2 linked regions of the Arabidopsis thaliana genome follow. The protein of the gene in region 2 interacts with the protein of the main gene of each other region in a biochemical or structural test. Each region holds a gene or a part of one and is shown on either strand. Other genes may lie near its edges.

What was found.
Region 1: the proteins of HD1 (region 2) and AHL22 form a complex in vitro, tested with the Arabidopsis thaliana proteins (one study listed by BioGRID).

What each region holds. Positions count from the first base shown.
Region 1 is NC_003071.7:18,725,602-18,730,048, reverse strand, and holds AHL22 (AT-hook motif nuclear-localized protein 22), read right to left. Parts: upstream 2,546-4,447; 5' UTR 2,202-2,545; coding exon 1,248-2,201; 3' UTR 777-1,247; downstream 1-776. UniProt on the Arabidopsis thaliana protein: Transcription factor that specifically binds AT-rich DNA sequences related to the nuclear matrix attachment regions (MARs). Binds an AT-rich DNA sequences in the FLOWERING LOCUS T (FT) promoter.
Region 2 is NC_003075.7:17,895,582-17,901,375, forward strand, and holds HD1 (histone deacetylase 1), read right to left. Parts: upstream 3,929-5,794; 5' UTR 3,723-3,928; intron 3,482-3,722; 5' UTR 3,477-3,481; coding exon 2,949-3,476; intron 2,865-2,948; coding exon 2,424-2,864; intron 2,294-2,423; coding exon 2,063-2,293; intron 1,808-2,062; coding exon 1,737-1,807; intron 1,649-1,736; coding exon 1,591-1,648; intron 1,163-1,590; coding exon 1,091-1,162; coding exon of another isoform or gene 1,082-1,090; exon of another isoform or gene 1,017-1,081; coding exon 912-1,016; 3' UTR 697-911; downstream 1-696. Other genes in the region: AT4G38120 (ARM repeat superfamily protein), read right to left, coding at 1-141, 216-479; AT4G38140 (RING/U-box superfamily protein), read right to left, coding at 4,287-4,724; AT4G38150 (Pentatricopeptide repeat (PPR) superfamily protein), read right to left, coding at 5,630-5,794. UniProt on the Arabidopsis thaliana protein: Responsible for the deacetylation of lysine residues on the N-terminal part of the core histones (H2A, H2B, H3 and H4).

The sequences.
Region 1 (4,447 bases), on a different chromosome or scaffold from region 2:
ATCCTTTTGATAAATTAGGACAACAGAAATGACCGATCGATCATAGATTCATAATCATAGGTTATACTAAAAATATAATTGGTGGAGTGAGGTTATAAATGCAAAAAAAGAAAGAAAAAAAAGAGAGAGTGAGAGGAAATGAATGATGGGCAAAGTGGGAGGGAGGTGGCTTTGGAAGTAAGGAACTCTCTCTTTCTTCTCACTTTCACTCATCGCCTCGTAAAGGAACTTTTCTTCTTTCTCTCTCAGAGACATGCACGTGCGTCGGTGCATCATCCAATGCTCTTCTCTTCCCCAACCTTAATTGCTTTCTCATCTCTCACTTACAAAACCCTGCTCACACAATTTCTATATGTATACATACTTCCATCAAATCCATGTCTATATATGCAACTTGATCAAGTGAGTTAGTCAATTATACAATCATATATCATTCTCTTGTTCCAAGTTCTAGAATCTAATTCCTAGTCAATACCTTTTTCAATAACCAAAAAGTGATTATGAAAATTAGTTTAGATTTTAATATTTGGATGTTTATACAAAGATTTTCGTGTAAATGTAAAGTATCTGCCAAATGCAATCACCTTGTTCCCAAGTCTTGTTCTTGTCATTATGCCTCTTGCCTCACCATCTTCTAACCAACCTCGGAACAATCATCTTTTTTTTTCTTATGTCTTCCAACTTAAGTTAAATTATAAATATCTACAGCCGTTTAAACTTTAAAATAAAAATAACCGTTGTTAACTCTTTGAACAGAAAAAAGTACAAACAACGTGATTTTGGAAAATGAGTTTAGAGTTTGATTAATCAGCAGTAACGGACTTGAAGAAATTCATTTGACCTATTACCCAAAATCTAACGGAAGAACATAACAATTTGACATTGTTAGTGACCTGTTTAACCTTAATCACAACCTTTCAACGATATAATAACTATGCACTAGAATTCAACATACATAGATAGACACAAAGCTAATTATCACCAACACATGAAAATAAAAACTCGAAAATCAACAATTTTATAATCTGCTAGTCAACGCAAAACACAAACCCCCTCTCAAACCTAATAGATCGATCAATCCCATGACCAAAACGATTCTCTTCGATTCATACGTACCACGAATCTTCGTCAAAGACTACAATTATCTTTAGAAAACAAAGAAGAAGAAAAAGAAAATTAAAACTTGACAGAAGAGAGATTATAAATTAAAAACAACGAACGTATCTAACTTGTTTTTTCTTCGCGATTTAGAAAGATGGTCTCGGAGTTCCCCAATAAGCTTCAGCTGGCAATTGAACAGAATTCATAAGATTCGGAGGCAACCCTTGTATAAACGACGTCGGATCTTGCATCAACTGTTGTTGCTGTTGCTGCTGCGTCTGAGTTTGCGTTTGCGTTCCACCACCCATTGTTGCGTTTCCATCGATATTATTAGCAACCGCTCCAGCTGTTTGCTCTTCTTGATCGTCTTCCTCCAACGGCAGTCTCTCATACGCAGCGTTTCCAAACGAAGCTGCCATAATCACTACAGGTCCTGAAGCCATGAGTGGACCAACCACGCTTCCTCCAACAACCTGTCCCTGACCACCGGCTAAGTAAATCGTTAGACCTGACGCAGCTGGTGGAGCCGGAGGAGGAAGGAATGATCCCGAGAGAGAAAGAATCTCGAAACGTCCGTGTAAGTTAACGACAGATGAGCCACCACCAGGTACTGAAGCTGGTTGTCTTATGGTAACGTTGGTAACGGCGCCGTTTCCGCTCAAAACGCAGATGCCACGTTGGCGACGGCGAGCGAAGACGGTGACACTTTCCATGACGTCACATCCGTTTGCTACTTCCATGACATGAGATTTGAGAGCGTTTGCGCTGTCTCGAGTGATGATGATTGGCGGTTTTGGTTTGTTCTTAGATCCCGCTGGTCTGCCACGTGGCCTTCTCGTGATGTGATTATCTCCTCCTCCTCCGCCGCCGCTTTCTCCACCGGAGCCAGGAGTACTTTGATCTTTTCCGGCTGAAGAGTGCTCGTTGGGATCGATATCAGCATCTCGGTCACGTTTTAGCCCACCGATTCGGTGCTGGTCTATATCGTGGCCGTGATTCTGTTGCTGCTGCTGCTGCTGATGCTGGAATTGATGGTGTGGGTGAAGATGGAGATCTCTTGAGAGAAAAGGTGGAGGAAGAGAGCGAGAGACCTGATCCATTACTTGATATAAAAAGCAAACAAAAAGTAAACAATTGAAACCCTAATTTAGTTAATCTCTCCTCTTCTCATCCACTCAACTCACAAAACCAGAATCTTAGCTTGAGGGATGTACAATAACTCAATTAAATTAATCTAAGGAGAAAAAAATCTGAAGTAGAGAAATTAAGAGAAGGGTAATACAAAAGTCATATACATGTAAGACGAAACTGGAGCTGCACTAGTAATACATGTAGATGAAGCTTGTAAGAAGAAGGAGAGAGAGATGGGTTTAGGGTTAGGTCAGAGAGGAGGAGGAGGTTAAGGTTAAGATGAATGATGAATGGGTTAGTTTTGGTTTAGATAGACAGCGTGCCGCATGGGCGGTGTGTGGGTCCTACCTACTGCATCACTTTGTGGGCTCTACAATTTTTTTCTTTAAAAATATTTCTCTTTGTTAGTTGTGTAATAATTTTCAGTTGTGTTTCGTCTCCCTTTAATTGAAAATTTGAAGTATAAGGTTTTTTTCTTTTTTAGTCTATGAAAATATTGGATGAGGTTTACTAGATAGTCCATGGATGCGTGAGATTATATCAAACATTATAATGGACACACAAATTGAAGCGCACGAGTCTTATATTAAATCTGATCAAAGGATACTAATTAAAAAAAAATGAAGCTCATGATGAAACTGATGCATATATGCATGATTTTGTAGGTGGTACATGCCTTAATGTACGGTCTTTTAATTACATTTTATCAATTCACGAGTCTTATTTTTTTAGCAAACAGTCACGAGTCTTTTCATTATATTATGTTTCTCGATGTAACGGTAGAACATAAAAAAAAAAAAAAAAAACAATTTACACATTCAAAAACTTATAGAGCAACAGAAAAAGTTAAACTCTACAGTACAAATAAAGTGGGTAGGATAAACCTTACAGCTTATCTATAGTTCGTTTAAACTTTTAAACGTCACTTAGTGATAAAATAAAAGTATACTGTGTTGAGGAGTATCAGTATTAATTTTGCGTTTACGTATCATAAACTTCGATTTGCGTTGAAAGAAGAAATTTTTTACGACCATTATGAATCCCGATTGCATGATGCATACATTAGACTTTAGAGGATTCGTTGGGGGTTGTTTGCAGAACAAATTTAATTATTTTCTTGTTCTCACATCATACAATTGTTTTTATGAACAAAAATACTTTTAATAATATACTACATGTGTACGTTAAGATTAATTAAAGTGCATAAAAGTTAGTGACAAATAATAAAGAGTTGAATTGGAGAAAAGAAGCTGAAATTATGAAGAAGAGACGTTATTGTGGTTGGATAATGACAGAACTTGTTTTAAATATTTCACTTAAAATCTATCAGAACCACTTAATTGTATATGTATATATATATATATATTATATATACACATACTGTGCTTTTTTTAGAAAAAAAATTATACACATAGTACTGTGCCTATTATATATTGTGGAATATGGATACTGTTGTTTTACTAAATCAAATTTTAATGTATATAGTCTCTGTGTACTTAAATTTATTTAAAAATCACAAATTTCTTTTATTTTAACGATTCTACTATCACATGGTTTTAGTCATCAAAGTGAAAATTGTGTATACGAAGTAGTATATTAATGATTGTGTTTACACAACATCAATTGGTCGTTAATTATAAAATACACCATCAACATCAGATTGAATTTTTATTCATTGTCTAACTCAACTAAAAGAATGTGGAAACGTTAAATTTTCAACTCCTTAAAATTATTATGAAAGCTGTTGCACCAGTTTGAAAGTTACCAATTAAACATTTCAAGAAGAACTGGCTTAAATTCCTTTATTTTCAGCCGATTCCTTTATTTTGCTTGTGGCTTTTTAGCATAAAGTAAGTTTCTACTACTAGGACTCTAGGAGCATAGTATAATATTCGGAGATTAATTGTGTATGTTGGGTCGATAAGGCAGATTCAAGCTCGTAAATCGCGTAAGCTTGGGGGAAAACTAAAGAGACAGGAAGTGGAGGAAAGAGAAGATAACAGGCGCGTCAGACGCCGTTGGATGTTTGTCCCCGTCGGTTGCGATGCCTTCACGTAACAAGACAATCCAGCGAGGACCAGCTCACACTCGCACGTGCAGCCGCTGACACGCGTGAAGGATTCATTTAATGGTAAATTAAATTACTTAAAACATTGACTCAGTTCAGAGATATGCCTGAAGTTCAGAAGGGTGGCTTTCACGTCACGATGGGGAA
Region 2 (5,794 bases):
GGAGAAATAGGCAGCGGAATAAGGTGAAGAAGGCATGGGTTGGCGAAGAAGAAACTCCAAGACAGAAGCAAAAGAGTGAAGAAGGAGCGGCCATGACGAAGAATTTAGTTGGAAAAGTAGACGAGCACAAACATCGTGAATCTGGATTAATAAAAAGGAGGAGAGATCCCATTAATAACAAGGAAATGATGGGAGGAGAGAAGGAGAAGACGCACCAGTTGACAAGTATGACGAGAGACAGGGATCCAGTCAGGACCATCAGCTTTGGAAACCAAATCGAGCAGGAACAAGCAATCGGAAGTGAGCTCGTGCAGTGGGAGGTGAGAGACGGCAGAGATAAGGGAATGGGATTGAGAGAAGAGTAGATCCTCGAGCAACAGAGGAACCGGCGGCGGTGGAGTGGTTGAGATTTCGTCCCTGAGAGAGAGAAACGCCGTCCGCCACCTTCCCACGCTTGACGAAGCTGCCGCCGTGAACATGTTTCAGTCTCCCGGGAAAAAACTAAGCAATCAAAAACGAGAACGACGAGAGACAGACAGAGAGACGCTTAATAGTCTTAAAGGGATTTACATTTTTTTAATTTAGAGTTAGAAATCAATTGTGTTACAGGAAAACATCTTCTCCACCCACTTCACTAGTTGATGATGTTCATTGCTGCGTTTAGCACATCAATTCTTTATTTTTTTGGGGTGGGCAGACGCAGATCTCTTCGGCCCAATCAATAAATATATAGCAAAAGGAATAGCTCGTCTTGTCATATCATATCATCATTCAGACATGCAACGAATAAATACATATCCGTGCTCAATCCTCTAAAACAGAGGAGTGCTTACAACAACAACAACTCCAGAAACTTAACTAGCAACATTTGATAGACAGAAAAAGTAGCAAGAAATTAGAAGCTCCGAGTCTTATGTTTTAGGAGGAAACGCCTGCTCCGCCCCACCCTTGTTTGTTCCTTCCTCTTCCATTTTCACACTTGCTTCCTCCACTCCCACTGGGTTTACTCCTGTAACCTGCAATCAAAACTAACCACTTTAGAAAACCACCATTCCCACCCTTTTCAGCCCTGTCCACTGCTTCATTTTACCTTAGTGCTTCCACTCTCATCCACCTCCACCTCACAACCTTTTCCACGCTCCATAATTCCTTTCAGTCCATCCTGCACGAACAACATGCCATGATAAATAAATTAATCTCGGAAGAAAAGGAGACGGCTTTAGGAATTGAGAGGCAGAGATGATTCAGCTCAGCTTGGCTAGACGGTCACACTATCTAATCAGGTCAATTGTTGGAGCTGGGAGCATACTAAATAAATAGCCTAGGCTAAATGATTTAACCGTAGCTAAAGATTCGCTACCCTCATGTGAATGTATCTCCAGCTTAAACTAACTGACTTAATGTCAGAATGAGACTCATTCTGGAATCTTTAGGTTTTGGGTCTCGGGATGAGAAAAAGTGTAATGTTATCAGAGCACATTGTGCTGTTCTGGAAAATGCTGTAAACCTAGATGAACTAATGACTTCAAATGTTTGTACCAGAAAAAGTGTCTGAGAAATCGAAACAATTAAGAGATAATGCTGTAGTACCTTGTCCTTTGTATCTGGTTCAACAGCTTCTCTTTTTACTCTGCTTGGTATAGGTTTACTGCACAATGCGATCCCACATTAAGTAAACATTACACCGCTGACTCGAACCAAAAATAAAAAGGGGAGGAAACATATATATTTCATACCGGTCATCATCAACATCCATGTCTGAATCCGGATCCCATCTTTTATCCCCATCTTCTTGGTCTTCATCAACCTATAATTTACATAGAAGGCATATTTTACAAAACTAAGATTGGTAACAACCAGAGTCATCAATCAAGGAATACTTATACATATCTAACTGGACGAACATTATTTACCAGCCCAGCTGTTTAAATTAGAAAATTCTTATTGTAACTGCAGTTACACTTAGATAAGCTCACCAAAACCCATGAGGAAATGCAAGAAAGAATGGGCAACAGAAATAAAGGAGCCAACACACTTCAAATGATTTGCTCAAGTGGCATACCTCGGGAGTCTCTGTATCAGGTGGTCTTTCCTGAAATGGTACACTTGGAGCATGCTGAAGCTTAGAGAGATTGTGGAGAAGGTCATTGCGAATCTCTTCAAGCATCTGACGAGAATTCTTATTTTCCATGTTACTTGGAGCAACGTGAAGTGTATAGTCTGGACCAAAGTATTCATAATATTCATGCTCCGGCATCTTGTCTTCAACTTCAACTCCAAGTGCAACTCCAGTCTGTCATATAAACAGTTTGTTGTAATAAATTCAAAGAAAGAGAGGCGTCACAGAGGGCTAACCTTGGTACAGAGACCAAGGAAATTTCAATGCAAAGCTAGAGCAGCATAAAATGAACAGAAGAAAGTACCTCGTAGCACCAGCAACGGGCAACATTGCGGATAGTGTAACCACCACCACCCAAGAGCAGTAGGGGAACATTGAACGATCTCATAAATTTGACGCACTCAGCATGACCTTTGATTGAAAGATTAAAGCACCCCAACCTATCACCAGACAATGAATCAGCACCACATTGCAATACCACAGCCCCTGGTCGGAAAATTTCCATAACTTTCCCCATGATGGGCTTGAATAACAGATGATAGCTCTCATCATCGATTCCATCATCCAGTGGTACATTGAGAGAATAGTACTTTCCGCTACCATAACCTATATCCTGAATGTGACCTGTACCGGGAAAGTAATCACCAAATTTATGAAACGAGACAGTCATAACCCTGTCAGTAGCATAAAATGCCTCCTCCACTCCATCCCCGTGGTGGATATCAATATCGACATAAAGAACACGCTGCAAACGAGAGAGGAAGAGTTAGAGATTCAGAAACGACATAACCATCCCTAGCATATATCAAAACGGTGCAGGTGGACAAACCTCATGCTGCTTAAGGAGCTCTAGGATAGCTAAGACGATATCATTGACGTAACAGAAGCCAGAGGCCTCGCACTTCTTAGCGTGATGGAGACCACCAGCCCAGTTGATGGCAATATCGCAGAGGCCGTGGTTAAGCTTGACAGAGCCACCAACAGATCCTCCAGCATAGGTCTGGCAAAAGGAATAAAGGCCGTCAAAGACGGGACAGTCTTCACCAACATTGAAGCGCTTAAGTTGGCGAATCTGATCTTGCTGGGTTTCAGGGGTAATGCTGCGGAGAAAAGAGACATAGTCGTCGGCGTGGAAGCGGCAGAGATCACGGTCGCGGGCAGGGAAGGGCTTGAGAACCTGCATATGCTGAAGGAGACCGTAGTGAGCGAGGAGGGCATGGGTCATGCGGATGCGATGGGGCTTCATGGGATGACCTTGGCCATAGTAGTAATTGCCGACCTCAGGGTCATAGAAATAACAAACTTTCCTCTTCACACCATCAGGTCCGGACGCCAGCGAATTGCCGCCAGTATCCATTACCTCTGCACGCACGCCGATCCATAAAAATTATATTATTAAAAAATGATAACTAAACCCTAGCCGCGGAGTAGCTGAGCCATGGACGCGTTTGAATGACAACAACAACATTTTTTTAAGTTACGAAAAAATCAAATCTAGTGTGCAGAAGAGACAGGAAGGCGAGTGAAAGATATTAAAAGACGGCGAGGCTAGACAGACGCCGGAAAATGGAATCACGCAGACAAGGAAGAGAGTCTGACTGACCTTTTTCGTAGGATCAACGGTGTGTTGTAATCACAGTCGCAGTCAAATGGTCGGAGGAGAAGCTGCGATGATCTCTCTCTCTCTCTCTGGCTTTCTTCTTCCTTCCTCCTCGCCGAGGGGAAGGGAGCTGCTCTCTGCTTTGCTTTCAGATTTTCTTTCACCTCTGACTGAAACTGTAGCCTACTTACTCTTCTCTTCCAACTTTTTCTACTTTCAGTTTATAATGGAAAGGCCCACTTTTAATCTGTTATGGTTTAAAATGAGGCCCACTTTTAATGTGTTTTAAAAATAAGGCCTATTAAGTTGCCTTTAGCCCGTTTACTTAATGGTCTTACGCAGAGTAACAAATCAATTAGGAAACAGAGCACTAGAGCAGCAGTAGGCACTAGGCAAGGCTGGTAAAACTAAACTCGTGCTGCTTTTGTCTCTGTTTAGTACAGTATATCATAAAACTGAGTAATCCACAAAATCTTGATTGAAAAGGAGATGGAGACAATATGTGCTTGGAAACTAAGACAAAATACATGTTAAATAAAGAATGGGTGTGTTAACAAGGAAGCTAGGCTACAAGTATCCAAGTAGATGGAGAAAGATACAGAAAAAGAAGAAGATAGAGAGATACAAGGTGGAAGAGGAGTGTGCATTATTGACATTTTGTGTAGGAGGAGTTGGAGCCAATACAAATGATCTGCAGAGAGGGCAAGTGAGGTGGCCACGGAGAAGCCAAGGTTCTATGCAATTGATATGGAAGAGATGAGCGCATCTGGGAAGATGGGTCACCGCATCCTCAGCCTCAAACTCCACCAGGCATATGGGGCAGCAAATTTCCTCCTCCTTTTCCTTGTCCCCAAACATCACTCCCACTAGGTTGTAACCGTCATCATCATGCGCATCCGCATCTCCACCATTCTTCTTCAACCTCCCCAAGGGAATGCACACACATGTGTAGAATACTATGGCTGCTGTGCACAAAGGCGACCGCGGAAACAACATTGAAATCATCTTTCTCCAGCTTTCTGCTTCTTTACCTCATTCCTTCCCTCTCTTTTATAGACTAATATCATCGAGTAGGGACGGCGCCGACCCCACCTCCCATCTCTTATTATATTCTTTTGTTGTTTTTCTTTAATCAAGTCAGCGATTCTCCCAACTCCAAGAAAACTCTTGGAGAGGTTATGGTCAACATACGAGATGCACATGCTTCCATCTTAAGCACTACCTGATACTTGCATTTAACAATAGTAAACAATACAAGAATCACATGACGCCAAAAGTAAACAAACAAAAGATGGCATTCATATCCAGTGTATTATTTATATATATATTAAAAGTAAGGAGTCATTCTTCCATCAAGACAGGCCTTGACTTCCGAGTTCACGAATATAATACAGCCGACCAAATCAAGTAAAGATCTCCGAGTGAATCATAAAAACTATTTTAATGTTGACTCCACGCATTTTGTATTCAATATAGCGCCAGCTTCTACAGAACAGACCTCCACGTCCCTGAGATCAGCAGTGCCTTTGGAGGATGATGTAGTTTTATGCCTGGTGTATGTAACCAATGATACTATTGTTCATATTTGTTCATGAAGTCGGCCACATTTGCAATAGACAGTCACATACATCATTGGTAATGACTGATAAGCGTCAAGCATAATTTGACACCCTATACCGCCAACACAACGCTATTCATTGAACTTGCAATCAATATTAGAATGCATGAAAACAGGGAACTACATCTACAACTACACATTTTTAAAGGACATAGGAAAAAAAAAAAAACTCGATACCTGACTCCAAGCAGAAAAAGGAAGACTCATATTGATTTTCACTTTCAAGGTTGTTATTACAAGTCAAGAAAACATCTTACTGAGACGGCATACTTAACAGCACTGCGTAAGTAAATCAGAAGGGTTTCTCGGTTGGTTTCTTCTTGAAGATGGCTTCCCAAGCCAAAGACGGAAATGGAGCCCTTTTATCCATGAACTCCTTGACAGCCTTAACATTAACGGCAAATCCTTTTTGGTTTAAGGTATCAATAGCGGACTGGGCTTGTTCAACCCCCTTTAC